6 linked regions of the Solanum lycopersicum genome follow. The protein of the gene in region 6 interacts with the protein of the main gene of each other region in a pairwise test. Links are inferred from orthologs where the notes say so. Each region holds a gene or a part of one and is shown on either strand. Other genes may lie near its edges. The genes, in order: 26S proteasome non-ATPase regulatory subunit 8 homolog A, SWI3B, BEL1-like homeodomain protein 9, E3 ubiquitin-protein ligase BRE1-like 1, nuclear transcription factor Y subunit A-7 and KN1.

Region 1 (4,826 bases), on a different chromosome or scaffold from region 6:
ATAAAACAGACTCAACCAGCAGATCTTACTATGACAAGGGTAAGGATATCACAAGCATAACTAGAACGATATAAACATACCCCACCCCAACTCTGCCCCAAGGCAGTTTTTCCTTCACCCTCAGTATCAAATAGTTGAAATTGGGTTCCAAAGCAAGCAAGAGAGGAATCTAGATATCAAACTATGCAACACTTGATATGTGTATTTGCTTTGCCATTTTCTCAAATAAGTACAGAAGATGAAATGGCATATGGAACTAAAGCTTGAGAAATAGTTACCGTGCATCTGTGTAATATGGTTTTAGCTGAAAGAAGTCCCTCTCGAAAGCATCCTGGTCCTCCATCTTCACAGATAAAACAACTGCATGCTCGTAAATATCTCCTGTGAATTGTTATACCATTGAACACTATTAGTGTGACTGTGAGAACCGTGAACTTTCACCAAGCTCCAAATTCAAATGGCTTAAATCAATCATATAATATTAGCAAGCCAACAATCTCGAGAATAAGCAAATCTAATAATAATAATATTAACAAGCAAGCAAACAAACAAGTCTTTGTCTTTCCTATGGTTGCAGAAATACACTGAAATGGCATCCCGCCATCCCGCCTAACAAGGATAAAAATGCTCTATATTCAGATGACCTCATGGAATACATGTCCTGCATTTTATTGAAGAATATTTTATATTTATTTATCTTTTTGATGAAGTAAATGATTATTGAAGAATATTTTCTTTTTACTTTTAATGAGATAACGAATGTATCAAATTTGTTCAAACAAGCTATTCCTTTTCCTTTAGTTTTTTTTTTGGGGCTTGAAAAAACAGCTTCACTGCCTTCGAATTACACTTCCCATTGTACAGCATATGGCATATTAGTGGAAGAACTGAGCACTGCATCTCCAAGATAATGTACTTACAATTCATAGATAATCATAATACACAATCAGCAACCAAGCACCAGCACCTTCAGAAGCAATTAGGCAACATAATGAAAAGCAAATAAAATAAACAAGAGTGCAGAACATTACTTGCAATTGTCAACTCATGGATGGCATTAGATGTTTCTTGGAATAGGGGCGGTAAGCTCGTGAAAGAGGTCAGAAGAACCTAAAATGTCAAAATAAAATAACTCGAAGTTATAAAAGACATTTACACAACCGATCTGAACAAGGTAGAGAAGTCCTTTATCATGAAAATAAGAAAATACAAGGTAGATAAGTCATTGCTATATCTTGAATCTCACAAAGACAATACACATTAGGTACCTCATATACTCAGTGAATCAACTACGTTGCAATCCCAAATTAAAGGTCGCGTATACTGACTACTTTATATAAATTCTGCTTTGTGTGGCTCATCTCATTCCAATACTCAATTAGGATTTCCCTAAAACCAGAGGTTCTCTACATCTCACACTTGCAAGTGAATCAGTCCAGCTTGTTACAAGACCCGGTGATAAAAAGTAACTAACCCTGCATTTTCTCCTTTTGCATATGTTCAAGGAAAATACGAGATAGAATCGACTTTTTAAGTTGAATATTTCTCTCATTTGAAGCTTGATGTAAGAAATTGCATTTTATAGTACTTTTCTTATAGTTTTTAAATATCCAAAGTTTTTGTTTAAAAAATCGAATTGATGTAATCTAATTTAAACTTTGAAAGTAAGTCAAATTGACTTTCAAAAAGCACAACATGACAAATAAAAGTGGATGGAGGGAGTATTTTTTATCTTATCTCCTACCAAGGTAAATCTTGAAGAAAGTTCCCTAAGCTGTTTCGAGTTAATTGAACATGTCAAACAGTTACACAACATGGGCAAAGTTATCAAAGTATAAGCTTGAATATGTGACGAAGGTAATCATAAAGAGAAATATTTTTTATAACCAATAAGTTCCCTGATAGTTAATTGGCCCACTCCTGTCGGGGCACAAACTTGACACTTGGGGTAGCATGTGCCCATACCTCTGCCCTGCTATTTAAATACCAACTTTACTCATTGACAAGATTCAAACTTGTGGTGGGTGCCTAACATAGATCTAACGTTGTACTTCCTTTATGTTGAATCAAAGTCTTGGTGGCTATATAAGAGAGAAGATTTCTAAGGCGACAAAACAGAAATCATTGTGACGGTACATTTCATAATAAGAGCTAAATTATGACAACAGCTTAGGCTTTGGAAAAGTTTGCGCTGTGTTATTGATTTCGATTAACTGAGCTGAGAGACAGCCTACTGCAAGTATGAATATAATTCCTAACAGAATGGTCGAATGTCGTGATAAACGCAATCATAAAGCAGCAGAGAAGAAAACTCTACATAAAGTACAACTCAGAAGATGAGTAAGATTGCGACAGAAAGCTACGGTTTTCAATGAGTTGTTCACCTAGGTATATCATATTCATGTGATTACCCTGAGCTAAGATAGTAGCCCATTACAAACTATCAACTTCGCTTCAACATAAAATCGACATATATATCATTATACTTGAAGAGTGTATCTAACCATTCCTTCTACATTTTCATAAAATGAGCAAAATTTAGAACGAAAAGCTAGGGTTTTCGCCGCATTCACCTATGGTAATATCATAATGATGCGATTACCTTGAGCTAAAACAGTAGCCTAATACAAGCATCAAAATCATTCCGCATAAAATCGGCATATAAATCACTATAATTATCACCATACAAGTGCGATAAGCCAATTAAAGACTAACACCTCTAAACATCTCACATTTACATGATTTGAGCAAAATTTAGAAAAACAAACTAGGGTTTAAACAATGATAGATGATGATTTGATGCGATTACCTTGAGCTGGGAGAGTAGCCTAGTGCAAGCATCAAAATCGTTACGCACAAAAGCAGCTTTGAATCGTTCGAAAGTCTGTGAAACTTCTGTAATCTTTGGATCCATGTTCGATCTCTGTTCAGAGCTTTTTCTTCTCGGTCTCTGTAGAAGGATTCTCTTCTTTCTTTACAAGAAAACGGAGGAAGAAAATTGGACGATTTTTCTTGGTGTTCATATAAGGGGCCTGAAAGCCCAACGAAGAAGTTCATGGGCTTTTGTGTTGGGCTGATTTCGGTTGGTTGGATTGAATTTGAACGGACAAAATGGATTAAAATAATAAATGAGTTAAGACCTAATTGAATTCAAATTTGTTTAGGCTAAAATGAATTGGATCAAAACGGATTAGTAATAAGTCATAACTCAATCGCTCAATTTTTACTAAATTTAAAATAATATTATTTATTATTTTACAAACTTTTGATACCTAATAAATGTTGTAAATCATAAATAATATACTACAAACAATATGGACAAGATATATTATTTGTTATTTTATAAACTTTTGATCCCTAATAAATGTCGTTTACATAAATAATATACTACAAATAATATAGATGAGATATATTATTTATTATTTTATAAACTTTAGATACCTAATAAATGTTGTAAAACATAAATAATATATTACAAACAATATAGACAAGATATACAAAAAAGTAAAATGCAGAGATCATATTATTCAAATATCTCCAAGTGTCTTTTACAATGGTAAACAAATATTCTTATTAATAGGTTTATAAATCATTTCAAAGACACCATGTTAAATGTCATAATAAATAGATATATTCTTATTGAAAATGATTAATGCAACCTAGTAAATACACATACATTGATGTATATAGTTCATGAATTGAGAATATGAACAATCCACTAATTCAATATATTCATATTATTGAAAATATTTTTTTCTTTATTATGAATGCCCATAATATATAAAGAAAAAAAAGTGATTTTAAAAATATTTTGATAAAGATTTTTCAAAGAATGATAATATATTAGGTGTGATTTGACATCAAAAGAGAACTTTCTCTCTCATTTAACAATATCGTATTTGATGTTTGTTCTTGACAGTGTATCCAAAGTTTAAAACTGTAGGTTCAAATAACACAGAACATTCATATTTTGATTTTAGTAATAAATAATCTTTATATAAGAGTAATAAAATTAAAAGGGCTACCTATAGGTAACCGTTCACACGTATATAAAAAATAAAATATTTTATTAAATAACAAAAATCCTTTCTTTAAAAAAATAGCAATATTTTCATTTTAAGTTCGGTTAAAATTTGTTATAAAGTCAAATGTCAACATCAAAAAAATAATTAAAGTTTAATATATTTAAATAAAATATTATTATCTAAAAAAAAGACACTTGAACAATAACACTTCAACTCAAAAGAAGTTTCTTTGGGAAGGATGTAGTACTCAATACACATTTCATTTGGCACCCAAATAATAACAACCGTGAAACCTTGCTATATACAACAGGTGTTTGCTGAAAGGTACTCTAATGAAACACACACTTTTGGAGATAAGTAAACAATTATGGAGATGACAGCTTTTGGCATATGAGTGTCCTATATTTCTAACTTCATTTATGTTGCTTGAAATTGAATAATTTATACAGAAAAATATTTTTCGTAGATCTAATAAATCTTTAAATGATCCAAATCTTTTAATCAAGCAATAAATCACCCTACTAACATGATTAGAATTTTGCTAGCGAACATAAAATATTAAGAGTTCTCTAAATTTTACTTTGATTACCATACTGTACAAATCTAAACTAAACATTATATTGGTTATCAATAACAATTATTTCATATTGATTGATATTATGGTTAGCGGTTGACATATAATTAAAAAATTGTCATTATTAATAAGTTATGTGCTGAAAAAAATATACACTTATAAATCAAAAAAATGAATTTTTCATTAATTCAAGTTAATTAAATTCTTAAAAGTTTAAAATAGATGTT
Region 2 (5,018 bases), about 4.2 Mb from region 6:
TTTATCGATTATTCTTTTTTTTTTTGGGTGTGTATATGTGTGGTGGCGGTGGTTAAGTTCAATTGCTTGTATGAGGTAATATGAGGACCAAAACAGAAAGCAGGTATATTCTCTATGCAAATGACCGTATGTTAAAATCATTACATGGCTTGACTTATCCAAAATGAAAAAAGAAGGCATCATTATAGGGCCTCTTTCTTGGCGGGGACCTTCTTTGCCTGATCAAGGATACTGGGTTTGGGCTAACATGTTACTGTGTTTACAAGAACTCCCAAAGATGGTTTTGAATTTTCATTAAATTCGTCATGATGATGTTCCTCGGAAAATGTTTTTTTTTTGCAACCTACTATGTGTGGCAGGTATGATTACTGTCTGACAGGTATAATTACACATCAGATGGAGATGACAGATACTTGGCAGTTCTTTCTCGTTGTTGTCTTTATCTTTCTACGTACATAATTTGATTTTTGATGTGTTTTAATAGTAGTCAATGTCGTATCTTCTTATCATACATTTTAACAATCTCTTATGGCGTCCAAATAAGTAGTCTCTTTTCATGATTAGTTCAATTAATTTTTTCATTTGGTGCCAGCTTATATTTGCAATACTTAAGTATTTGAATTTGCTTAAAGGTCCTTTATGTGGTAAGCAGTCCCGTTTCAGTGCCATTTGCATGTCATCAATATGAATTGAAGCTGCTGAGGAGAATTAATGAAACTCTGAAATAATCTACTAATTTGATATGCAGCCCTTTAAAAAAAGGAAAAAGACACTAAAAAGTAATTTGGTGTATGTAGATTATGTAGCAAGGTTATCCTTCTCCTAGATATCACATATTAAAAAGCTATCAAACCTTTTCTAGTCTTAACGTCATTTGCGTTGATGCAGGTTATAAAAAGTCATACCCACACCATGAGAGCTCAATGTCTGAGTCGCTCCTGATGATTGAGTGAGGAAACATGGAAGTTGCGGATTGCACTTCCTTCAACATCATGTATCTAGGCCCTTGCATTCTGCTGGTTTCAGGATCACTGGCAGAGAGTCATGCATTTGAGGGATACTGGAATAGGTTTCTGGCTCCCTCCTTGTAGCAATAAACTTTGTAAAAAATTCACATCAGAATCAACCTGTGATTCAGTTATAGTCAAAAACTCCCAGAATATGCTTTTGGGTGTGTAGATAGTCATTGTCTTGCGTGCTGGTGCACCATGCACCGTGTTTAAAAGTCTTGTGCATAAAAAACAAACAAGCTTTAGTCTTAAACTTGAGATTCATTCTGTAATTTGGATGTTTTATTGATGATTCTTGAAGCAAGAAGCTTCAGTTATTATCACCAAGGTTGGTGTGACATGACCATAATTTTGGGTGCAAAAGCAGTGTTGCATCATTTATTTGTGTTTGGTACTCAGAGCAGACTTTGCCAATGAAGTTTATATTATTCATTCCCCTTTAACCTATTCTGTTGAATATTACATCAACCATGTCAATGTCTCAACTCTCAAATTTGCGTTTGCTGTTCCTTTTCCTATATATTCAAATCTAGTTTTGTTTCATGATTCAGGTTTAGTGATTTAGTTGTCTTTCTTAAGGATTGCAAATCTCTTTCATACAAGGTATTATTCTTGTTTATAGCAATCTATCGGTCGATGTAAAACCCACAAAATAAAAATTAATAGGACGTTTGAGTTGTAATTTAGACATTAATAATTATTAAGTGTTTTTTTTTTTTAATTTAAAAAGGACACAAGCAAACCTATTACTAACTAAGCTATTGGTCAAAATAAAATTGGCCCTTCGTATAAATAAAACCTTATAATTGTCTGTTGATAGACCGTTTGTGCGTTTCATCTCCCAAATGCCTTGAGATTACACTTGTCTAAATTCTAACGCTTCAACATGCCCGAATCAGGCGAAATCAAGTCACAGGCAGCTAAATCTGACCCTCAAACTACCTCTCCGCCACCGTCGCAGCAACCTCAAACGGCTGCTTTGCCACTAAAGCGTCCCCAACAACTGGAATCGTCCCCAAACCCAACAACTCCTTCAGTCACCGATCCCAAAGACGTCACTCCCACCACTATCTCCTCCCGTATTACTGAACCTGATTTCATCTATATTCCCAGTTATTCCCGTAAGTCCCATCTACTTTTCAGCTTTTCTTTTCAAATTTGCTTCTGTATTTTTAGGGTGGAATGGATATAGATGATTCGTGATACTTAATTAGTTCTTCTTCTTCTTTTAGGTTGGTTTTCATGGAATAGCATTCATGAATGTGAGGTTCGCTTTCTTCCTGAATTCTTTGATGGAAGGTCGCCTTCCAAGAACCCTAAGACATACAAATACTATAGGAATACTATTATTCGTAGATTCAGAGATAACCCCACTAAAAAGATAACCTTTACTGAGGCTCGCAAGACCATTGTTGGAGACGTCGGCTCAATTCGTAGGGTTTTCGATTTCTCAGAGACATGGGGTTTGATCAATTACACTGCTAACTCTTCCAAGTCTCTGATCAAGTGGGAAGAAAAAGAGTCAAAGTCAACATCTGCCTCAGCTCCGCAAAATGCTGACGCCAATGGAACGTCCACTGATTTTACTCTCCCCAAGAAAAGAATCTGCAATCTCTGCAAAACAGTTTGCAGGATTGCTTGTTTCGCTTCTGATAAGGTGATTGCAACAGTCCTCTATTTTAGAGTGTTTGCTTTATCTTGTTTATTCGTAAATTAGAAGGACTAATTGGTATCTAACAACTCTTTTGAATCAAGTTTGAATCTTTTAGCTTCTCCTCAGTTGGTCATGCTTACCTCTTAGCTCTCACATCTCAGTCTATAGATTCATACTTTTCATAGCTCATGGTTTCTATTTAAAAAGTTCTCTTCTTTTTTTTTTCTTTTTTTTTTGCTTAATCCTAAATGGCAGTTTACTTGAGGTGTTGGTTGGGCTTGTTGCTATTGTCAAAAATGAGTTTACTTCAATTTTTGTTTGTTTAAATGCAGTATGATTTGACTCTTTGTGCAAGATGCTATGTTAGTAATGATAATAGAGTTGGCGTGAATAATTCAGAGCTTCGACGGGTTGAGATTAGTGAGGAAGTTAAGACAGATTGGACTGACAAAGAGACTTTGCACCTTTTAGAAGCTCTTATGCATTATGGCGATGATTGGAAGAAGGTTGCTGAGCATGTTGGTGGCAGAAGCACTAAGGAATGTGTGGCTAGATTTGTCAAGCTTCCTTTCGGTGAGCAGTTTATGGGCCCTCCTGAATCTGCAGAAATGGATAGTGAATCCAGGTCTGAAACTATGTATCTTCAATCTAAGAGAAGGCGCCTCACACCCTTTGCTGATACAAGCAACCCAATTATAGCACAGGTACTAAGTCACATTTCTTATTACATGGATGTTTTAGGATGTTAGATCAGTGTTTGGGAAGCAAGAAGCAAAAAACAGCGACAAGGGTTCGCTTTACAGAAGCGAGAAGCGTGAAGTTTGCGCACACTTTTTTCAGATAAAGCGGTATTTAGTATAAAAATAATAAAAAATATTAAATAACTGAATAGAAGTAACATATTCCTAGATTAAAAAGTAAATAGATTGTCAATAATCCTCGTGAGTCATAACATATAAAACAAATACATAACCAAATCACAAAGGATCAAACTCTTATTCTTCATTGTGACATTGAATAAGAAAATACAACTTACTACAAGCAAAGATAAAAGAGTAACTCAGTAATAGAACAACAAAAATACTGTAGAAAAAAATATAGAGACAGAACAGATCAGCAGCCAGCAAAAAAGAAAAAAAAAAGAAAAAAACAGAGCAGCAGTAAGTCAGTTAGATATACATGTTCTATTTAGTATTGTGGACCTTGAATATTAAAAAGAAACTGGACATCTGTTAAGTGCTTGTGCATACAATATTCCCTTGGATACTTTGCAAGTTCAATGTAGTTGCTGAAGCAATTCCAATTTCTACGCTATCAAGGGAACTTCGGTTCCCATCTGACTTTGAATTATTTACGTAGATCTTAAGACGTTCTGCTGAAGCAATTTCAATTTCTACACAATCAAGGAAACTTTGCTTCTCATCTTACTTTGATATGTTATATAGATCTAGGGTCATTCTTCTCCCTCATTGACTAAGAGTCTTTTGGGCTGCTGATTTCTTGAAGTAGACAAGTTGATTAATTAGGTCTTTAATAATAGTCAAGTTAGACTTCAACTGATTCCTCTTGTTTTTGAATCTTGCTGCAGGCTGCTTTCCTCTCTGCTCTTGCTGGAAAAGAAGTTGCAGAATTAGCAGCACATGCCGCTGTTACTGCTTTGTCTGAGATTGGTGAAGGAATAACAACAGGGAGTCTAGAATCTGTACTCTGTGGTGCAGAGCGGCAAGGTATCCCTATTATTTGTTGTGGTTTCAACAGAGAAATCCCTATTACTGCAAACTTTTTTGATAAGAGTACTACTGCAAACTTTAGACATATGGGGTGTCAGCTTCATAAGAAAGGAGTTTGTCTAAAGTGAAATCTGATGCAACTCTTGTCTCTTGGTTTGTGCAGTAGTATTAGCGCATTTGCAATGTTAATTAATGCGTCTTCTTGGTGCATTGTTTGCTGCATTCTTTGACAACAACTTTTGGAATGTAAAATGCCAAGGGCCATCTTTACTGACATCCTTGTTTCATTTACAAGGATGTATTGTGAAATTTTTGTCTAGCCTCTTTGTTCCAACAGGATTGGCGGGCATTAATGACCTTGATACTCAATTGACTTAGAATGATTAAACTACATGAGAACTTCATCGATAACAAGACCAAGACAAGAGGGGCTTTTACCCTCCTCCTCCCTTTATTTTTATTTTTTTTGTCTTTTTTATTTGGCTTCACCCCAAGCAGTACTTACCAAAAGACTGGTTTATGGAGATTTCACTTAGTACTTGAATGTCCATTGGCCTTTTAGCAAACTTCCTCTAATTGCAAAGCCAATAATCTCCCTCGTAGCAGAATTGTTGGCAAATGAAG
Region 3 (4,863 bases), on a different chromosome or scaffold from region 6:
GTGTTGAATGTGAGTCATCAATATGAGATAGCCGGTTGATTTGTCAAATCATCGTTTAACTACTAGTTGTTATTATAGAAAATTATATTTACGTTCTAATTTTAGTTGTGCATAAATAAACACTGATATACTTATACAAAATTGAACACAAGTAAGTTACATATCGCACGAGACACTCAAATTGAAAAAATATTATAATAGAATCTTGAATCCATACGTTTCGATATGAAAGTAACTAGATTTATTAGAAGGAATTCTAACCTTTATACATAAACAACAATTACCACTTCAGTATAATCCAACCAAGTAAGATTTGAGAAAAAAAGTGTACGTAATCATAACTTTATGTAGAATATAGAAAAATTATTTTTGACAAAGTCTTAACTCAAAAAACAAACAATCCAATATAAAATTACCTTTTATACGATAAAAATATAAAATTAAATTAGACTACTACATACAAGTTCAAAAAACTATCAATAAATACAAAAGAAGTTTCAATTTAAATTTTTTATTGCTGCACAAATATCTTATATCATACTTAAGCGCACTAATTCTAAAATTTATATTTTTCGTTTAAGGTTAATTAAATTATATCACACGCTAAAAAAAGAAAAGAGGAGTATTTAGAATTTTCTTATCTATAATTGAGTAGGACACTTTAATTAAGGCACCAATTTTTGTGCATATATTCCCTAAATCACCTTTTCCCAAAAAGAAAAATTAGTGATTTATAAGAACCTGTACGCCTATATCACATAGGCATCTAGCCTGTGTAGCCTTTAATTCAATAATAAATTACACTATAAAATATCATTTAGTATATCTAATATAGGTAACAAATATTTTTTTATTACTACCATTTTAACTAAAAAAAGATTTATCACAAAATAATTACTCCCTACCTTTCTTTTTACTTATTCTTCTAAACGTTGTACCCTCCCTCGAAAATTACGATGGAGGATATTATTAAATAAATAAAAAGTGTTCTTTTTAATAATTTAAATTTTTAGGTAAGATAATCATACACTTTAACATGATATCAGAGCAGAATTGTACTTGACTATTAATTTTGACAATAGCCTACAAGAATGAATGATGTTTAAGGGAAATCAATTAACTCGTTTATTAAGTAAAAATATTTTAATAAATTATATTTTATTTTTTTGTAATTTTTTAATGAGCATGAAAAAAGTAAAAGCAATATTTGGAAGTAATATTAAAATGCTAAAAAGCTTCTAAATACCCAAAAAAATCTCATAGTGCATATTTGTACGGACATTAACGATAACTCATCACTTTAAAGAATCTCTTCTTTTTTTTTTTTTTTTAATTTTAACATATAGTATATGCTAGAAAAAGAAAAGCATTGGAGTTTTCATAGACAACAGCTGGATAAGAATCATAAGAAAAAAAGTGTAAAAAGTTAGGCAGTTGGATAATATATTTGGTTTGAATTTAAAAATTACTAATAAAATATAGTTTTATTAGTAAAATTAAAATTAAAAAATATATATAACTACTTTTTTTTTGAAATATTTTACTCAAAAAAATTTCAAATTATGATGGCTATACTTTTAAAACTTACCAAAAAGACTTGAGTAATTGCAAGCAAAGTCAATGGAGAAAAATATATGGTTCTATAATTAATGCAGAAACAAGCTAACTCTGAACTCCCCTCCCTACCACACATTCAATAAAAATTAAACTTTTTCCACAAAGAGAAAAAAATAAATCAAGCTAAGAAGAAAAATGTGAACATTAAAATTGAATAATCGGGTGCATAAATCATTCCGCATTCACAAATAGTTTAAAAGAAGAGTCGCACACTAGACACTACACCGGAGATCTATTATAAGAAAGTTGTGAATTACATTAAAATTCGTACGAAAATTTATAAAAAAATAAATTTCTTATAAATTTCAAAATACCTTTATTATATAATTAACACTTTTTTTTGTAACGTGAAATATATACCATTTATCCTAATTCAAATACAAATGTCTCTATTCACAACTAAAACACATAATTTATATGTTTCACAAAAAACAACTTTATCAATACTCAAAGTTTTACTTTTGATGTTATTAGCAATATCCTCCTAATTCAATTTGGTTTGACAAAAATATCATCATCAAACGCGAAGTCTCAAAGTTTGAATCTTGAAAATGAAAAAACATAAAATTCTATTAGTTGAATCTCAAAGCGAATATCAAATATCGAATTAGAAAAACAAGAATGTAGAAATACCAAAATTAAGAACCCTCATGACTATATGTATAAAAAGGAAAAATAATTAATAAAAGGTGTACCTCATCAAGCATTGAAATTAACCTTGATTTCTTTTTCCCAAATTGTTCCTCTCCATTAGTAAAACCTTGTGGAGTATCCATCATCAAATTAGAAGCATCATCATTACTATCATCAACATAAATCCCTTTAGTAACATGACACAATTCATCCAACAAAATCTGTGCTGGTTTCAAAAACTTTGATCTCTTTAAAATTGAAGAGTACCCCGTAAAAGGTCCAAGTGGTACACAACTAGTAGTCGTAGTAATACTCTTAGACGAAGACAAGTCATTATTATGAAGAGATGACAAAGACAAAGATAAATTACCTTGACCATTGCTATTACTATTACTATTAGTATTAGTATTATTATGATCAAGAAATCTTGGAATTTGAGATGTATATAGAAAAGGGTTACCATTAATTTCTTGAAAAATTGATAAATCTGAAGATAAAACAATAGATGGATCATAAAGAGGGGGGATTTGACAATTACTATTATTATTTTCATCAAGTAAAACTCTAAGCTTATCTCTTCTACTTTGTTGTGGGACATGATAAGGTTCAAATCCTTCAGCCATTTAATTTTTTTTTTAAGAAAAAAAATAAACAAGGCAAGAGAAAGATAAACAAGACTCTTTATTTAAAAAAAATAAAATAAGAAAGGAAGATGAAATGAAATGAAAGATGTGAAAATGAATAATAGTAGTGAAGAGATGTGGGTGTGATTGGATGAAGTGAAAGGCTAGAAGTAGTGTTATTATTGGTATTAGGATTTATGACAATATATATACTGATATCTATCAGTTTTGAGGTGAGAGAGAGAGAGAAAAAGACAATCAAATCAAAAGCTAGGTTGAGAGAAAATAGTGTTACACTCACTCATATATTAGACTAGGGGGTAGTTGTGGAATGTGCACTTCATGTAGCATAGCTGCAAATAATGTAGTGACACTGTTGGGTTGGTTGCTAAAGATAAATCAGACGACAAATAAAAATTTTATATCGATCTATATAAAAAAAAGATATCATAAATAAAATTATATTATGTTTTGATACGAGAAGAGAGTTATTCAATTTTTAGATTTTTAGTTTGATTTTTGCTTTATAATTTATTTTGTTTGTTTTTTTAATTTGGCTTATGATTTAGAAAAATGAAAATCGAAAAATAAAAAAAAATCAAATGATATATATATATAGAGAGAGAGAGAGAGAGTTAAGTTAGAGTTAACCATTTTTATTTTCATCATGATTTTAGTTTATTTTTATGTTTGGGCATTTATAATTGATATATTTTTATGTATTGTATTTTACGTTTTACTTGTGATGTATATTAAAAAGTATATTTATGAAATTCAATATTATATATATAATTTTTTTTTAAATTACAAATATAACTTTGTTATAATTCTAAATATTGACATAATCAATTAATTAAACTAAATTTATTTTGATTCGAATTAGGTTACACTTCTTCAAAACTAAAAACTCAAATCGAATAAAATAAAATCAAACGGAAAAATCAAATGCACACCCCTATAGTGTTCATTCAAGTAAGGAATAATTCAAATTTGGACAATAAATTATATATTTTTAAAAAAAAATTAAAATATTTATGATAATAGTATGATTTTCGTTCGCGAGGAAAATAAAACTTAAATAAGGTTTATAAAATCAGGAAAAAAAGTCTTAATACACATGAAGTTAAGTCAAATTATATTCGCACAACTTAATAACTTATGTTTTAACTTTTTATTTAATTATATTAATAAATTATTCAAAATTTAATGTTATTTTAAGTTGTTACATAATGCATTGAAGAACCATAAACAAGAATTAAAGTGTGAAATGCACTAATATATAAAATTATACCAAGAAAAATCTTTGGTCAAGGGAGTAAAAGGACACAATAGACCAACAAGTGTAGGATTTGTTTTAGATTTCCACTAAAAACTCCAGTAATTTGAAGTTATAATTTTATAATCGAAGAGATTAACTCAATATAGACAAGTTCAAGAAGGAAAATGATTTGTAATTCATTTCATTGTAAAAGTTGAAGGCAAATCAAATCTATAAAACGATCAAGAAGTTGAAAGAAAAAAGTATCTTGACAATCACAAAAATCGAGAGAATTTTTCCAGCAAAGTCAGAATGATAGGTATTGCATATTCACGAAATATATCATCTAGGGTGATTAGTCTTTGTTGATTTGTTCTAGGTTTATTATTGAGTTGTAATAATTCCTAGATTTGTAACAAGAAGTGAGTTTGACTTCTTGGGAGTTGAATCTTGAGAGATTTGTAACAAGAAGTGGGTTTGATTTCTTAGGAGTTGAGTCTTGAGAGAATTGTAACAAGAAGTGGCTTTGACTTCTTGGGAGTTGAGTCTTGAGAGAATTGTAAACAAAAAGTGGATTTGACTTCTTAGGTGGTTAGAGTTAGGAAGAGTTGAGAGCTTTTGTAAACAAGAAGCGAGTTTGACTTCTTGTTTAGTGGAGAGTTTTCGATTATAGTTAATCGAAAAGGGTAGAAGTTTAGAGTTAGATTCATTGATTAACTGAGTTGTAAATTT
Region 4 (4,944 bases), on a different chromosome or scaffold from region 6:
AAATACATGATTGTGAAGTATTAATCTAATAATTGGAGTTAGGATGATGCATATAGGTACTTAGGGAATGAAAATGTGCCTTTTGAGGAAGAGGATGGCTCGAGAACAAATTAGCGCTCAAGGAAAGGATGTTAAAAATTGGTTTGTGTTGGGTGGAGTGATCACCGCGATACAAGCTTATTCATTCAAACTGAGCACTTGCAAAGATGCACGACAAGGTAGTAACCAAAAAATACCCAAATTTAAAATCTTCCTTATAGTTGAACTAAGAGGAAACAAACAAACTCAATCACAACCGCTACAGCAACACAGGACATAATCAAAGATCTCGGGTTCGAGACCCAGGATAATGAAATAAGGGGTCGTTTGGATAGTAGTAATAGTAATGTACGAACTAATTATGCAAGACTTAGTTGGTCCATCTTTTACTTGGCATAAAATAATGCATAAACCCCCTCATGAATTATACATGTATTGGTTCGTGTGCTATATTCTATACATAGCAACTAAAATGCTACAGAACATGGTATTAGTTATGCTAGTTTTAATACATGAGTTTACTTCCTAACCAGCAACTAAAAATTGTGGTTTAAAAAAAAATTATGTTCACCTTTTCAGGCAATTGAGTGAGTATGGGGGAAAACCTATATACTAGGAGAAGCGATGGAGGGGGCGACAACGGGGTGAACAAACTCTATTTGAGGCAATGGATTGGGACTTAATAACAAGGCAATAAACAATAGAACTCAGCAACCAAAGATGTGAACTTAAGTGCATCCACTTAAATAAAGGAAAGGTTAATGAACAAGATCAACAACCTTGGACACGCACCAGCAAAAGATTAACAAAATCATTAACCTTTGGACTAGCACCAGCAAATCCATGCAGACTATCCACTTTCAACCACCAGAATTTTTTTCTGTTTTATGTTATTTCCTGCATAAATATATGCATAGACCATAAGTGAACGACAACCTTGCTTCACAACAGTGACATAATAAAAGGCCTAGACATCCTCATGTTTCTGATCAGATATAAACGGCCTTGACATCATTTGCTCCAAAGCTTGCAGAGCAGACAGGACATTTGCGGTGACGAGTCTCCACAATTTTTTGGATACACGGATTACAAAAGAGATGGTAACATTTTGCGAGGACAACCTGTAATGTAATAAAGAAAACTTAGCTCTCAGAGTGAAATAGGTATCAGATAAAGAGTCTAGCAAAGTTAAATTCTTTCCTCACTAAGGACACAATTACATGTTTGGAGAAAACTAGTTGAACCCAAGGGTGTGGCCTGGTGGTCAATGAAGCGGGTGCAAACCAATCCCGAAAAAAAAAACATAGGCATTATCTTTGTCATGTCTAAACAATAATAAATCTTTATAGGTAATGTTACCTAGTACCTGTTCTAGTGGGAAGTAGCATACCGATGGGATAGTCGAGGTATGAACAAACTGACCTGGACTCCATCGCTATCAAAAAAATATTTGGAGAATACTAGTTCTATTACCACCATGGCAAAAATTAAACCAACCACTGTAACAAGTTAGCTGTCAGGATCTCTTAGAATCTCACCAGATGGTGGACGTAAGCATCACTGTGCTTATTCACATCAGACAAGATCATGTAACAAATTAACACATGTTTGGTTAAATGTACTATTTTTTTGGTAAGGAGGTACTATTCGGTCTCACTACTGGACACTGGTTGTTCCCTAATTCAGAACCATGGATCTCATAACTGAAGAATCTCTTGGATATCGCCATACTATTATCTCAATAACCAATCTAAAGTAAGAACGCAATCTTTTCATCCCATCTGCTGCCAGAATCACAAACTTGCAACAGTGGATCCTACATCAGATGTGACATTCTATAGGTACTTTCAACTTCACCAAACTGATGCTGATCAACCAAATAAATAAGGAAAGGTCAGTCGGTCCAACCTCTTTGCGCCTATCAAAGCAAATACTACAATTGAGTATTTCCTTGTATTCCCTTAGTTTTTGCTGAAGCTTCTCAATAACAGATGACCCTTCAATGTGTGATCTCAAACGTGAAGTCTTTCTCCTCAGAGCTTCTACATCCTCCTCTGCTCTTTTTCTCTCAAACCTAGCCAAGTAAAGCGAAGATCATATAATAAAGGAACATATGAGAGTATTGGTTTAAGATAAATTCATAATGGGTATACAGACAAAGGTTAACCTTCAGTTACCTTTCTTTCTCTAGTTCTATCTGCAACTGTGCAAGATCAACTCGAACTTCGTCGATCTTGGATTGCCATTCTTCCAGCGTCTCCCGCAATTGCTGGGAAGATTTTCTTACATCTAAAAACCGTTTTTGGGTGTTCTCTAAAGCAAGAGAATTCTGACCCCTATCTTCAGCAAGCTTCTGGATCAAGTCTGAGCATCCCCTCAACTGAAAGGAAATACATACACTTAAAGTCTGGAGAAATATAAACATTTGGCACTTCAGAGAAGATATGCAATTACCTGGTCATCAATTTTGGCAGCTTTCATTTCATAGGAACTGACCATTGTATTGGCATCTTCAACTGCTCTCTCTGTGATTTGACTTTCCCAAGCCAAACAATCCCGCTGTTGTCTTGCCCGTACTCCTTCTAAAACAAGCTGTAGAACAGGAAATAAACTAACCACAGTGTACAACATTGGCAGCAGTAGAAACCTGAGACACTAGAAATGCACAGACAGAACGTTTTTTGGAGTACTCTTGAAGCGATGTAAGGAAATTTGTGGATGCGAAACTCTAAAAACCCAACATATCCATGTAAAGCTACAGAAATGTGTCTAAAGTAGTCCTATAAAAGGAACTAATTCTGCAAACATCTTAACCATGAGGGAAAAAAAGAATAAAACAGGCATATAATGCACAACACAATGCTGGAATCTCCCCGGCATCAAAGCAGTGCGGGACAAATTAATGCCACATTCATTGTCAGTCTTACTGAGAATGGATAACAATGAGATTCAATCAAATAAAGCTTAAGAAAAGCAAACCAGGTGCTATTTTTTAAAAGTGGTAATACTGGCCAATCCACTACCGATTAGCCAAGTGTTTACCCTCCCCTGTTCAAAGATAAGTTGGGGTCATGGAAATAAGATCTAACAACAGCTACAAGGAGGAAAAATATTTACACAGATTAGTGCATGAAAATCTAGAAAAGAAAACCCTAACAGGATAAGTTTAAAAATGTAATGCATACAGAAAGGTTGAAAACAAGAAGGCATTCTGAATTAAGAACAAAAAAACAATTAAACAAATAACCCAAGTTGTAGAGTCAGACCAGAACTACCATGACTGAATGGAAAAAAAAGAAAAAAAAAAGAATAATCGCCACAGATAAGGGGGAAATCAATTGAACACAAGTTGCTGTAAATGTCCACGACTTCAGCATTGTCAAAGGCTCGCTTTACACACACTTAAGCCTTGAGGCTATGTGCAAAGTAGTTGCCCGTGCCTCAATTGAGGCCTCAAGGCACTAAAGCATATGCTTTTTCGCCTATAAGTTTTCTTGAAGAGATTTGGCAATAAAGAATAAATATTTCACCTAATATGATATTTTATATTATTTTGTCTAGATAACTGTTTGTTTGCATCTAGAGCCTTTCTTTCTTAAGGGGCTAGCACTTCGTCTGCACTGGCTCTAGAAACCCACTATAATTTTTATCCTTTTCACCTTTGATGAAACTGCTTATTACTCTTGACCATATGTATACACATTTTTTTTACTTATTTTTATTACCCTTTCTTCATTAATGCTCTCACTCTATATTTGTGCTTTGAACACCAACTGACCTCGACTTTTTCTTTCACTCTACATCTTTGACCTTTGAGAACTTGTAATGAGATAATGTGTTGTTCACTGCCAGGTCTTCTACCAACTCTTCAGGCTCCTTGCTATAGTTGTGAGGTAGTCAGTGAGGTTACATGCAATTTGGTTGAAACTTGAAAGCATTCTTACAGTAAAAGATTTTCCAAACTTCTTAACGGTTAAACTACTTTCACTCATTGTGGTTTAGATGTATAATTCTAAGTACTTTTCCCCAAATAAATGTTTATAAGAGAAAAATGGCTGAAGAAAGATGGCCATGGAATTAGCAGCAACTAAATGAGTTTACTGAAAACAAATCCGAATCTGTAAAATTAGATGCAGTAACAAAGTTGCAATGGAATTATTATTTTTTTTAAGCTCGTAACTAGTTACATCATTTTTTCTTAATGACCGTGGTGTCTAGGCCAGTTTTCGCACCTATCGACGAAGGCTGGGACAGATGGAAAGAATCACCTAGTGTTTTTTGTCTCCACTGAGTTTTGAACCTAAGACCTCAAGGTTCTCAACCACTTCATTAACCACTAGGTCACAACCTTGGGTGCAGTTACATCAGAAATATTATTACCCTTAAACAATGTAAATCATTCATCAGAAAACAATGAAAATCCCTAAGCAATATTAACCACTTTTCCTCCGTTGACATATGATTAAAAGGAAAAGCAAAAGTTAATCGCTGGAGAACAACACCATAAATACTTCACATCTGACAAATGAAGTCTAACGAGAAATATCAAAATCATACCCCACTTCCTAAAACTTTAGTGACTCCACCTCACACATGATGAAAATAATTGACTCATGAAGCATCTAAATTGAGAAGAAAATTCCAGCTTTCGCCAATTAGAAAATATAGGGAGGATGAAAAGACAAATAAAGCGCAGTATTAGGAAACAACAAACAGAATGCTCCCAGGCACATTTACCAATGACACTCTCTCCTACTTCCTAGGATTGCAACCTTCCTTTTCCGGTAGACTAGCCGGAAATTGACCCCTTCCATTCAAACAACTCAGTTCTTACATCCCGTGATTACAGTTTTACAAAAAATCATCTCCCGTCTTAAGAAATTATGGGGGATAATAGAATATATC
Region 5 (4,447 bases), on a different chromosome or scaffold from region 6:
TTTTGGTTCTTAGTATTAAGGTTTATGAATAGTGCATTGAGTTATTTCTATATCGTACAATATTAGTTTCATATTTCCTAATAAAATTATTTGCAATGCTTGGTTTAGTTGGTGGATAGGTTCAATTTTATACTAAGATAAGTTTATGACCACTCAATTTATTCTACAATATTTTTTTACAAATTTCACGGATAACTTTCATAAACTGCATGAACGTAGTTTGTTCTGAATCTGTAGATAATAATAAGCTTGTGTTTCTCCATAAAAAACCTTAAGAAAGGTTGTGTATCAACCACTCCATATTTTACCAACAATCTGTTATTTTTGATAAGTTATACAACTGAAGTGCTCTGTTTTGAAATTTACTCCGAGCAATTAATGGAGATTCTGATTAGTAACACAATAGAGAAACTTCTCAACCAACACTATAATTTCTCTCTTGACAGTTCTAACTTTTTTTACAAGATATGGAGGAATATCTAGAAGTAAATACAACAGGATATAAATACAAGACCTGCTGCTTTGCAAGACACAAGAATCAATAATCGCAGCGGATATGGTTATAGATAACCAAGATATTGACACAGAATGCATTGACCTTGGAAAATTAGAATTCATCAACCAACAGTGCTGCACGCTTATCTTCTTAAACTAACAAAACGTAGTGCCAAACGTTATTACTCAAATTTCTGACTCGATATTCCATACACTTACTAGAACAACATTTTGAAGGAATCACAAGGCAATTACGAAAGGACAAGAAAGAATGTCTACAAACAAGCTCAGAGAGATGGTATTTAGAGAACATACGCCCAGCGGCCACTTTGTAGCTCTCAAACGAGTAGGCCTATTCCGATCTATCTACACTCAGATAAACATACAGAACACCACAATTACCCTGATTTTGCCCAGCTACCACAATTCTATTTTAACAAAAGCACTGCTGTTTCTACAAACAGTAACAACATACTATGGTCCACAAAGTCCTTGATATTGCATAGATCAAGAGGCATTCTCTGAAGAAGCGACCTTGTCTTTTCCAGACTCGAGATTAATGTTGACTTGAGATTTATCACCAGTTTCATCCTGTTTCTGCTGATTATCAGTTTCCTTTGCTGTCAGGAAACGACCTCCACATCCTCTAGCTCTTTTCAATGCATGCAAATGTCGTGATTCATGCAAGTAAGGCTGCAAGATTATTTTGCACTGTGAGCCTCCCAAGGTATTCGTGCTGGAAAAACATAGCCTCAGAAACAGATATTAGAACTTCTAATCATGGTGTAAGGCACCTTATTACCAACTGTATGTTATTGGATCTTGCAGATGTTTCCAGCACAGTTGATAACCATCTTTGAGCTATTTATTAGGGAGTAGAAGACATTATTGATCAGAACCCATAACTTTCGACATATACATATTAATCATAGAGAAAATGGATTTTTTGCTTGGAGAAAGATCCTTAATTACGAATCGGGAACCGAATCACTCTGTTCTCCAGCAACAATATTTTACTTTATTTTTAAAAAATGCATCAAAATTATGTTTCCCAAAGATCAGAGCAATATAAACTTTGATGGGCAATTGATCAATCATATAGAATATAGATGTTCTAGAATTAAAAGCTTTTGTTGCATCAGAACCTTTGTACAATGTAATGTGAAACTAATATGGTATACTAGTAACTATTTAGATTTTTATGCGTAGCAACTGTAAATAGAGGAGATTATAGTTACAGTCCAGAAAAAATATACATTTGAGAACTTGCTCTACTGTCTCTCTCATGCTCTGCTATCCACACTTCACTTGCAGTATATATTATTAGTAAAGGAAATTTTATGGTTTTGTCGTTTGATTGGGACTCATAAGGAAATCCAATCATGATATAAAATTCTGTGTAACAAATATGATTGCAACATAGAACTCTACATTACTAAATTGCCTTTATATTTCCAGAATTAAAGTGTGCACTACTAATATTGGCCTAAATTATGCAGAAACCTATGTAATATTTTATGTGGGATATATTGAGAAAGATGCTCTCATAGTAGATATCCCTGAATAAGAATCCCTATATTATTTTTTGATGTGTAACAACCCTCGCATCATTATTCACTGCATAATAATTTCTATATATTATTAATGGCATAATATTTCATATATATAATTCTAAAATAGCTAATAAGTGAACCAAGCGACCCCTGTATGTGTTTAAAATAGCACTAGAGATGCACAGACACTTAAAATATGTTCATCACAAACATGAATCATCTGGGAGGCTATTTAGCACTTAACAGTAGGAAGTGATAAATCAACAGATGAACCACAAACAAGCTGTCAAGGTTGCCTGTAAATTGCAATATTGGATACTAAAGCAACATAGTATAACAAATAAAAATACAGAAAAATATTTTTCGACAAAATACCTTCCTAGCTTTCAGAAGTTTCTTTTCTGACTCAGCTTTCGCGCGAGATTGTCGACGCCTCAAGATGCCATGATACTGTTTTGCATTAACAAAAACAGGTTCGTCTATCGCATCTGATGGCAAAGGAACACCCGCTTGTTGAATTCCCATTAGCTGAACGTGAACCTGACAGAAAATGACACAACTAAGCTCTCAAATTCATAGGGATATTTCATAGATGAAGTCCAAATGAGAAGTGTTATGAAAATGTAATACCATTGGTTGTGCTGGATAAGGTTGTGGAGGATAAGGTTGTGGATCATACGGTGCAAAGATGCTCCTATAGTATGGGTCTGGATATGGATAAGCTGTTTGAGCCTGCAACTAATGAAAAATTGATGCAGATTTATTATCCGAAAAATAGACTCGATATAACCAATCACAGAGCTTAAATATAAAATTAGTAGGCATAGAAACAGGCTTCAAATATTCCCCAACTGGTACCTTAAAGATCTGCAATCTCTATCAGAAGCCTCTAGTTTAAGGTGTCCAATAAAAATAAGTGTCCTACTAAGAATACTTAAGATTGCAGGTTATTATGTGTGCCAAATGGAGGGAGGGAGATAAAACATCCAGCTCCAGGTTAATCCAGGAAAATCTTTATGCAGCAGTCCAAACAGGGAACAATGGATTTACAATTTTAGCACTAAATTCCATTCACAAAGCTGAAAAGATGGCAAAATTTAAAAGGATTGCATTTTAAAAGTGTTTACTATGTAACTAACTATATGCTTCAAGCTCAAGCTGCTGCATAAAGAGTCTAGTTGATTCAGATCAGCTTATCCATGGTGTTCAAAGAATTCTGCTAGTGTAACCCTCCTATAGGACAAAGACTTACCTTATATGAAACTCTAGGCCAGTAGACCTACAAGAAAATTTTAGCCAAATTGTGGCAAGTGCAGTTGTAGAGAGTGACAAACAGATCGAGCAATCTGAAAACGAAGTAATGCCTAGAGAATTAGTTATAAAATAACACAAGCTTGTAAAACAGGATGTTGCCTAAAACAGAAATGAGAGATTATAATTGAAGTGTTTGTGTCTAACCCAACCATACCTGATTTAAAGACCAATCAAAATACCAGAAAACAAGACCAAAATGGAAATCACTCTCCGTCCCAAGGTCTCTTCAGTTATGATTGACAAACCCAACAATGATGGATTGTAAATATCGAGAAGTCATGAAATATCTATTCTTAATGTTACAACATCACCATTCAAAAACTTTATGCTCTTTGTATAAGCACACACTAGAAAGGGTACATGTGTTTCTTCTCACAACTGAATGTTCTTATTAGTGGTTCTAACTTCTAACTCCTATCTAGAGAAAGTCATCAACTAATCAAAAGCAATAAGCACAAAAAGGTCATTCCCTATCTTCAAGAAATATACAAATTTTCCTCATCAGAGACTAACAACCCTTATTATATCCGCCAGGTGTACAACATGACAATCTATAAGTAGAAATATTTCCATCCTACTACTAAAAACATTTGGAATAGTAAAGAAACTTGATGCATTAATATCCTTTTCTTAGGTTCATATTCACCTATTGCTTTCTCAAATAGTCTGAACGACCCCAATGTATTCAGTAATGCTATCTAACAAGCAACTTTCTTCAATTTATAGGTTCGGTGAAACATCCAACTAATCATTCATAAATCTAAAATAATATATTTTGCTTCATATGAATTTACCTCTAGATACAAGAATCCATAAGCACAATCATAGCTCCATTATGCCCCACATTAAGATATTTATGATCAACTTGGCTTTCAGGCTTTTGCACAACCAACTATTTGGGCAAGAAATATATGCGGTTTCATGTTGGATGTTACAAATGTCAAAGTGGTGTCTCTGCTAATGAAGAGAAGAACGATATCACATTCTAATTATAGCCAAATATGAACATGTGCACTTCATCTCCCAAAATAAAGAAGCCTATTAACAAGTGCAAAATGATAATATTCACAGAACCATCGTCAATA
Region 6 (5,106 bases):
TCCCAATGCCTAATTGCTACCACATACAAAAAGCAAACTTACTTGGAAATAACACCAATATTGTTATACTCCTAAAAACTACCTTAAGATACATGCATGTGCTTACTTTTGCTTCTAAACACCACATTCCTTTTTAACTTCTTCCTTTAGGTTTAACTTGGCATACATTTTAAAATTTCAGTATATTAAAAGATATTTTCGTATTTCATCTTTAACATTAATTTATTAATCTTTCATCATTTTCCAAAGTCTACGAGTAGACATCAATTAGTATGAATAACAAATTTACTATACTAACCATACTTTGAATATAGCAAATTCATTTTTTTTTTTGCAAAATGCATTAAAAAGTGAATATTGTTAATGATTAAGATATAAATAATAAATTATGTCTTATTTTTTCAACTGGACATAAAGAAGAAGATAAAACCACAATTAGTTCATAAGAGGTGTACTGTAGGAGTCAAGTAGTTTCTGTTGAGAGTGTCAGATAAGTGTAGTGTAGAATTTATTAAGTGGGAAACAATATTCACCATTAAGAAATTTGTCAGTGAATACACTGGACCGGACCCATAAAGTTAAAATCTAAATTAATTAATTAAACAAAGATTAGAGAAACAAACGTGTGGCTTCCTACATTTGTTTATATCTAGAAGATCTGTCTGTCTCTCTATTTGTTTATTTGCATAAAATGCAACCAATTCATTTCTTTTTTATAAACAATAGAGCACACACTATATATGCATGTATAATGTCAAAATGCATGACGTGGCTCAACAATTAATAAAGTGAATCGAGAATCTTTTGAGATTTCGGGTTCAAATTTTAATAAAGATATCTGTTATTTATCATTTCTTTGATAAATAGATTGAGCTGATAGTATTTTATTATGGGAGATAATAGATATTTGGTGAAATTAGGTTTCTGATTCAAATGATAGTAAAAATATTTGTTGTTTATCGTGTCTTTGATGAAAAAATTTATTTTATAGCTATTGATAATGAGAGATTATAGATACTTAGATGAAATTAATTCAGACGAATTTAAACTAGTCTAGATATCATGGTTATAAAAAAACAATTCACATCATCATATAGGCCCCATTCAAAAAATTTTAAGAATTTCTTTCATATTTAAAATTCGAATTCGAAATCACTAAAGGATAAATAACTTCATCTACCTGCACCACATTCAGTGGTTTTACTATTACTACTCTTCGTACACTCGTAAATAGGGTTTCTTACTCCATCGATGTTCTTTTGTATCTCTCAACAGAAAAAGCATTAATTGGAAATGAAGAATGATATTTTTTAGGGGGGGTCAAAGTTGTCTTGAACAGAAATAGCAATGCATTGGGACAAACAGTATTCAATGAACCAACAGTTTTTACACTGAACACACAAACAAAAGTTCAAATCATAGCCCTTAGTCTTTGGGTTTTTTTCTTCTTTAAGCACTCAAATATGAAATTTTTATCATTCCCTTAATTTATTCTTCTTGCATTCTTTCCATGCTTGGCAATTACCATGAAAGAACAAATTAAATTCAATTTATTCTTCTAGCATTTCCTTTTAAATTTTGTCTAAAACAATGTTATCTTACCATGTAGAAAAACAATATAATATTAAACTTTTGACTTTACTTTATTGAGATGATTTTCATGTTCAAGTAAATATTTATATGTTTTAACTTGTTTTAAGTTAGCAATTTTTTTTAAAAAAGTCTTTCTTTATTAAACTTCGTTTACAGTGTAATATTTATGAGAAAGAAGAAAATTACCAGAATTGAAGATCCGAACGGGAGCATTACCAAGCATATTAAGCTGAGCTTCAATCTTTTGCATGAACTCCATTGCCTCTTGAAGAGGCCTTGTTAATTCTTCTCTATACTTGACTAGCATGTCATAATATGCTTCCTGTATAATAGAGACGGATTTAGAATTTGAAATGAGAGCGTAGAGTTGGAGTTTGATATGTTAAGTCTATAATATTATTTATTTAGTGAATTTATCCAACATATATACTCCGAGTTTAATACTCTCTTGAAAATTTTTTTATTAGTGATTCATTTTAATAGGTTAATCTTAAAATTGACTGAATTTACTAAATCAGACAAAGTAAAAGGAAAATTTATTGTTAGTATAAAAGATAAATAAAATCAAAAGGAGCAAGCGCAAAAATTTAGATAAAATTACGAAATTAGAGAAATAAAATTCAATATGAGATAAGGATAAGGTCTGTTTCGAAAATTAAAAAACTAACCATGAACTGATCAAGTTCTGGGTCCTTGGAAACATCTCTGTCGGTCAACGAAGCTCGTTGCCTCGCCTCAAACTCTTGCCGTACCGCCGACAGCCTCGCCGCCACTTCCGGCGGTGCACCCACCTTTACAATAATTTTAACACTCAAATTAAACACACTATAGAGTAATTTATTTATCTTGTGATAGCAATATAAGCTAGAAAAAAAAATCAAAACAATACCATTTTTTTTAGTTTTTCTTTTGGGTATTATACATTTTGAGAATGCAAAAATGTAACATTAATCATAGTCATTTAAATTTTGAGGTTATAAATATAAAATTTTAATAGTAAAAGAAAATTATTTAAATTTTACCAAATAAGCAAAATTTTCAACATAAATATAGAATTTTCATCGATAAGTTACGAAATTCATAATAGGAACAAGTTAGAACAAATTTAGCAGATTTTATACGAGAACACAATCAAAATTAGGGGGAAAAAAACAGTCGGTGATTCACAGTCTTGATGGATATAATAAATTAGTATTAATATATGTTATCGCGATGTGACAAGTATCCATTCAATTAATTAAGCGTTTGTAAGCTGATTTAAACATCATGATTATTAAACGCGGAGAGTAAAATGTGTATACCTTTTGACAGTCCATGTAAGCATCCAAAAGGTTAGAACATTGAGGATGAGCTATAATTTTGGCTTTTAAAGCTTCGATTACTTCACCAGCACCAGCACCACCACCAGAAGTTTCCGTACTGTCATGATGATGATTACGAATAATCGATGGATAATGAAATGTATGGTTATGATGAGAAGTACTTCCTCCACCTTCTGTTTTTACTATCATCGGATCATAACAATCTCCACCTCTACCATAAATAGGGGCAGCACCACCAAGAACTTGATTTCCTCCATAAAAGAAATGACCTCTTTGACCTCCTGAATTTTCTCCAGACACATGATTATTATAATTATTATTCTCCATTAAATAAGGGGAAAAAAAACCCTAAATCAAGATGATGATGATAACTAAATAAAAACCCTATAAAAAAAAAGGAAACTTATTATTCCTCAACTACTAATTAAAGTTTTTTTTTCAACTACTCAACGAGATCTCTTTCTTATTGGCTAAAAATAAACAAATTTTGTGCATATTTAAATAAAGTTTATTATTATCATAAGATAGAAATTGGAAGGGATCTTAGAAGATTATTGTGGTGAGCAAGGAAGAAAAAAAAAAAGGAGGGGGGGGGGGTGTTACTAGTAGCGGCTGCGTAGGGTGATAAGACGTTCTTCCTTGAAGAAAAAAGAAAGGTGTGTATATATATATATTGGAAAATATATAAAAATGTACTCACCTTACATGAAAAAGCAAGAAAGACCACTAAATAGTTATAAAGAAAATAGTTTGTTACTTTATTTTATTTTTATATTTCAAAAGAGAGTTAATTTTTTAACTTTTTTTTTTTTGGGTATTTAATTGATTTTCAAAATTCTTATACGATGTTTTAAATATTTTACTGAAAGGTATTTGATGAAATATTGATGACAAAAATTAAAGTACAACTAGTAAAGTAGTTGAATTTGTATTGGAAAAGTTATATGGACGAAAATTGATGTGATGTTAAACATTTGAAACAAAATGAGTAAGAATAACGTATTTTTTAATTTTTTTTGCTAAGATTAAAAATACAATAAAAAATAGAAAAAAAATTTCACTCAAAGTTCAAACTAGTAATCTATATGCATTGATCAACAAGATAAAAACTTCTTTCATTCATATATATGATTTTATGTAAGTATTTTAATATATTCTATTATTAGGACTCACTAAATAGGGAGTGAATATCTTGAGTCTGAGTCTTGATTTTTGTAAGAGATGAATTGAAAAAAATGTGTGTAATGGGTTATTTTGACCCAAATGAATAAACAATGGTTATATAGAATAAACTTATTGATCTATAAATAATAGGAAGGAGACTTTATTAAACAACTCAATAACTTTGTATTTTTGTATATTGGGTGTATTGCTCTATGTTCGTTGTATTTTTCACTACGTACCTTTATTCAGTGGCAGAGGTTCATCTAAACCCTTTCGATAGAAAATTATATTGATTGAATCTCCCTCAACTATTTCGTCTGTCTATTTCTTCAAATTTTAAACCCCTTTATTAAAATTTCTAACTCCATTACTGAGCCGTATTTATAATTAACAACCAAAATAAACTAGGAGTATGAATCTATAAAACTAAACATAAATAGGAAAATATCACAAATAACAAATTCTAAACTATTGTGTTAAAGGCAAAAAAAACCTATCTTTTTTCTAAATACATGGAACATGTTGAATCACATAACAACGAAATTATACAAGTTGACTTGATTTCGAATTCAGCACACTACTGTTTATAAAAGGTATAAATGATTTTAGCAATTGTTTAGATTCTTTCATTTATGTCTTCGGATTGTGTCCTATAATCTTTTTGTTTATAAAGAATTGATATTATTCATTTCGACTTAAGTTGATTTGACAATGATTTTGTTTTGATTAATATTTTTGAACAATTTTCACATACAACAAACATAAATATTATTTTTGTATGTTATAGTTATAGTTTGCATAATTGCACTCCATAATACATATGATATGACTATTTCGATATACATATATATTAAAGAGCAATTGTATAATTTGATGGCTCCTCTTCGAATTTGTATAATTTTGCTGACTGACCATTTGTGTAAATTGTTGTCAGGCTATCGTTTGTATAAATTGTTGGTAGCCTCTCAACTCATTTTTATGTGTTTGTATATCTGTATAAAATTTGAATTTGTATACAATTGAATTA

Evidence for each region.
Region 1: the proteins of KN1 (region 6) and 26S proteasome non-ATPase regulatory subunit 8 homolog A interact in binary tests that used the Arabidopsis thaliana proteins (3 or more experiments, as listed by UniProt). The link is inferred for Solanum lycopersicum from reciprocal best matches to the Arabidopsis thaliana genes KNAT1 and RPN12a.
Region 2: the proteins of KN1 (region 6) and SWI3B interact in binary tests that used the Arabidopsis thaliana proteins (3 or more experiments, as listed by UniProt). The link is inferred for Solanum lycopersicum from reciprocal best matches to the Arabidopsis thaliana genes KNAT1 and SWI3B.
Region 3: the proteins of KN1 (region 6) and BEL1-like homeodomain protein 9 interact in binary tests that used the Arabidopsis thaliana proteins (3 or more experiments, as listed by UniProt). The link is inferred for Solanum lycopersicum from reciprocal best matches to the Arabidopsis thaliana genes KNAT1 and RPL.
Region 4: the proteins of KN1 (region 6) and E3 ubiquitin-protein ligase BRE1-like 1 interact in binary tests that used the Arabidopsis thaliana proteins (3 or more experiments, as listed by UniProt). The link is inferred for Solanum lycopersicum from reciprocal best matches to the Arabidopsis thaliana genes KNAT1 and HUB1.
Region 5: the proteins of KN1 (region 6) and nuclear transcription factor Y subunit A-7 interact in binary tests that used the Arabidopsis thaliana proteins (3 or more experiments, as listed by UniProt). The link is inferred for Solanum lycopersicum from reciprocal best matches to the Arabidopsis thaliana genes KNAT1 and NF-YA7.

The regions. Positions count from the first base shown.
Region 1 is NC_090807.1:67,621,621-67,626,446, reverse strand, and holds the start of 26S proteasome non-ATPase regulatory subunit 8 homolog A, read right to left. Parts: upstream 3,038-4,826; 5' UTR 2,915-3,037; coding exon 2,810-2,914; intron 1,111-2,809; coding exon 1,032-1,110; intron 382-1,031; coding exon 279-381; intron 1-278. UniProt on the Arabidopsis thaliana protein: Acts as a regulatory subunit of the 26S proteasome which is involved in the ATP-dependent degradation of ubiquitinated proteins. May help to control the degradation of one or more factors that repress cytokinin signaling.
Region 2 is NC_090803.1:68,202,157-68,207,174, reverse strand, and holds the start of SWI3B (SWI/SNF complex subunit SWI3B), read left to right. Parts: upstream 1-1,828; 5' UTR 1,829-1,896; coding exon 1,897-2,131; intron 2,132-2,242; coding exon 2,243-2,667; intron 2,668-2,996; coding exon 2,997-3,368; intron 3,369-4,252; coding exon 4,253-4,391; intron 4,392-5,018. UniProt on the Arabidopsis thaliana protein: Component of a multiprotein complex equivalent of the SWI/SNF complex, an ATP-dependent chromatin-remodeling complex, which is required for the positive and negative regulation of gene expression of a large number of genes.
Region 3 is NC_090808.1:5,213,230-5,218,092, forward strand, and holds the start of BEL1-like homeodomain protein 9, read right to left. Parts: upstream 3,163-4,863; 5' UTR 2,874-3,162; coding exon 2,313-2,873; intron 1-2,312.
Region 4 is NC_090810.1:7,003,467-7,008,410, forward strand, and holds the end of E3 ubiquitin-protein ligase BRE1-like 1, read right to left. Parts: intron 2,632-4,944; coding exon 2,494-2,631; intron 2,420-2,493; coding exon 2,217-2,419; intron 2,114-2,216; coding exon 1,948-2,113; intron 1,161-1,947; coding exon 1,029-1,160; 3' UTR 763-1,028; downstream 1-762. UniProt on the Arabidopsis thaliana protein: E3 ubiquitin-protein ligase that monoubiquitinates H2B to form H2BK143ub1. H2BK143ub1 gives a specific tag for epigenetic transcriptional activation and is also prerequisite for H3K4me and maybe H3K79me.
Region 5 is NC_090801.1:55,885,780-55,890,226, forward strand, and holds the end of nuclear transcription factor Y subunit A-7, read right to left. Parts: intron 2,787-4,447; coding exon 2,679-2,786; intron 2,589-2,678; coding exon 2,424-2,588; intron 1,357-2,423; coding exon of another isoform or gene 1,294-1,356; exon of another isoform or gene 1,290-1,293; intron 1,232-1,289; coding exon of another isoform or gene 1,189-1,231; coding exon 1,003-1,188; 3' UTR 725-1,002; downstream 1-724. UniProt on the Arabidopsis thaliana protein: Stimulates the transcription of various genes by recognizing and binding to a CCAAT motif in promoters.
Region 6 is NC_090803.1:63,959,066-63,964,171, reverse strand, and holds the start of KN1 (homeotic protein knotted-1), read right to left. Parts: upstream 3,416-5,106; 5' UTR 3,243-3,415; coding exon 2,895-3,242; intron 2,385-2,894; coding exon 2,262-2,384; intron 1,916-2,261; coding exon 1,780-1,915; intron 1-1,779. UniProt on the Arabidopsis thaliana protein: May play a role in meristem function, and may be involved in maintaining cells in an undifferentiated, meristematic state, and its expression disappears at the same time the shoot apex undergoes the transition from vegetative to reproductive development.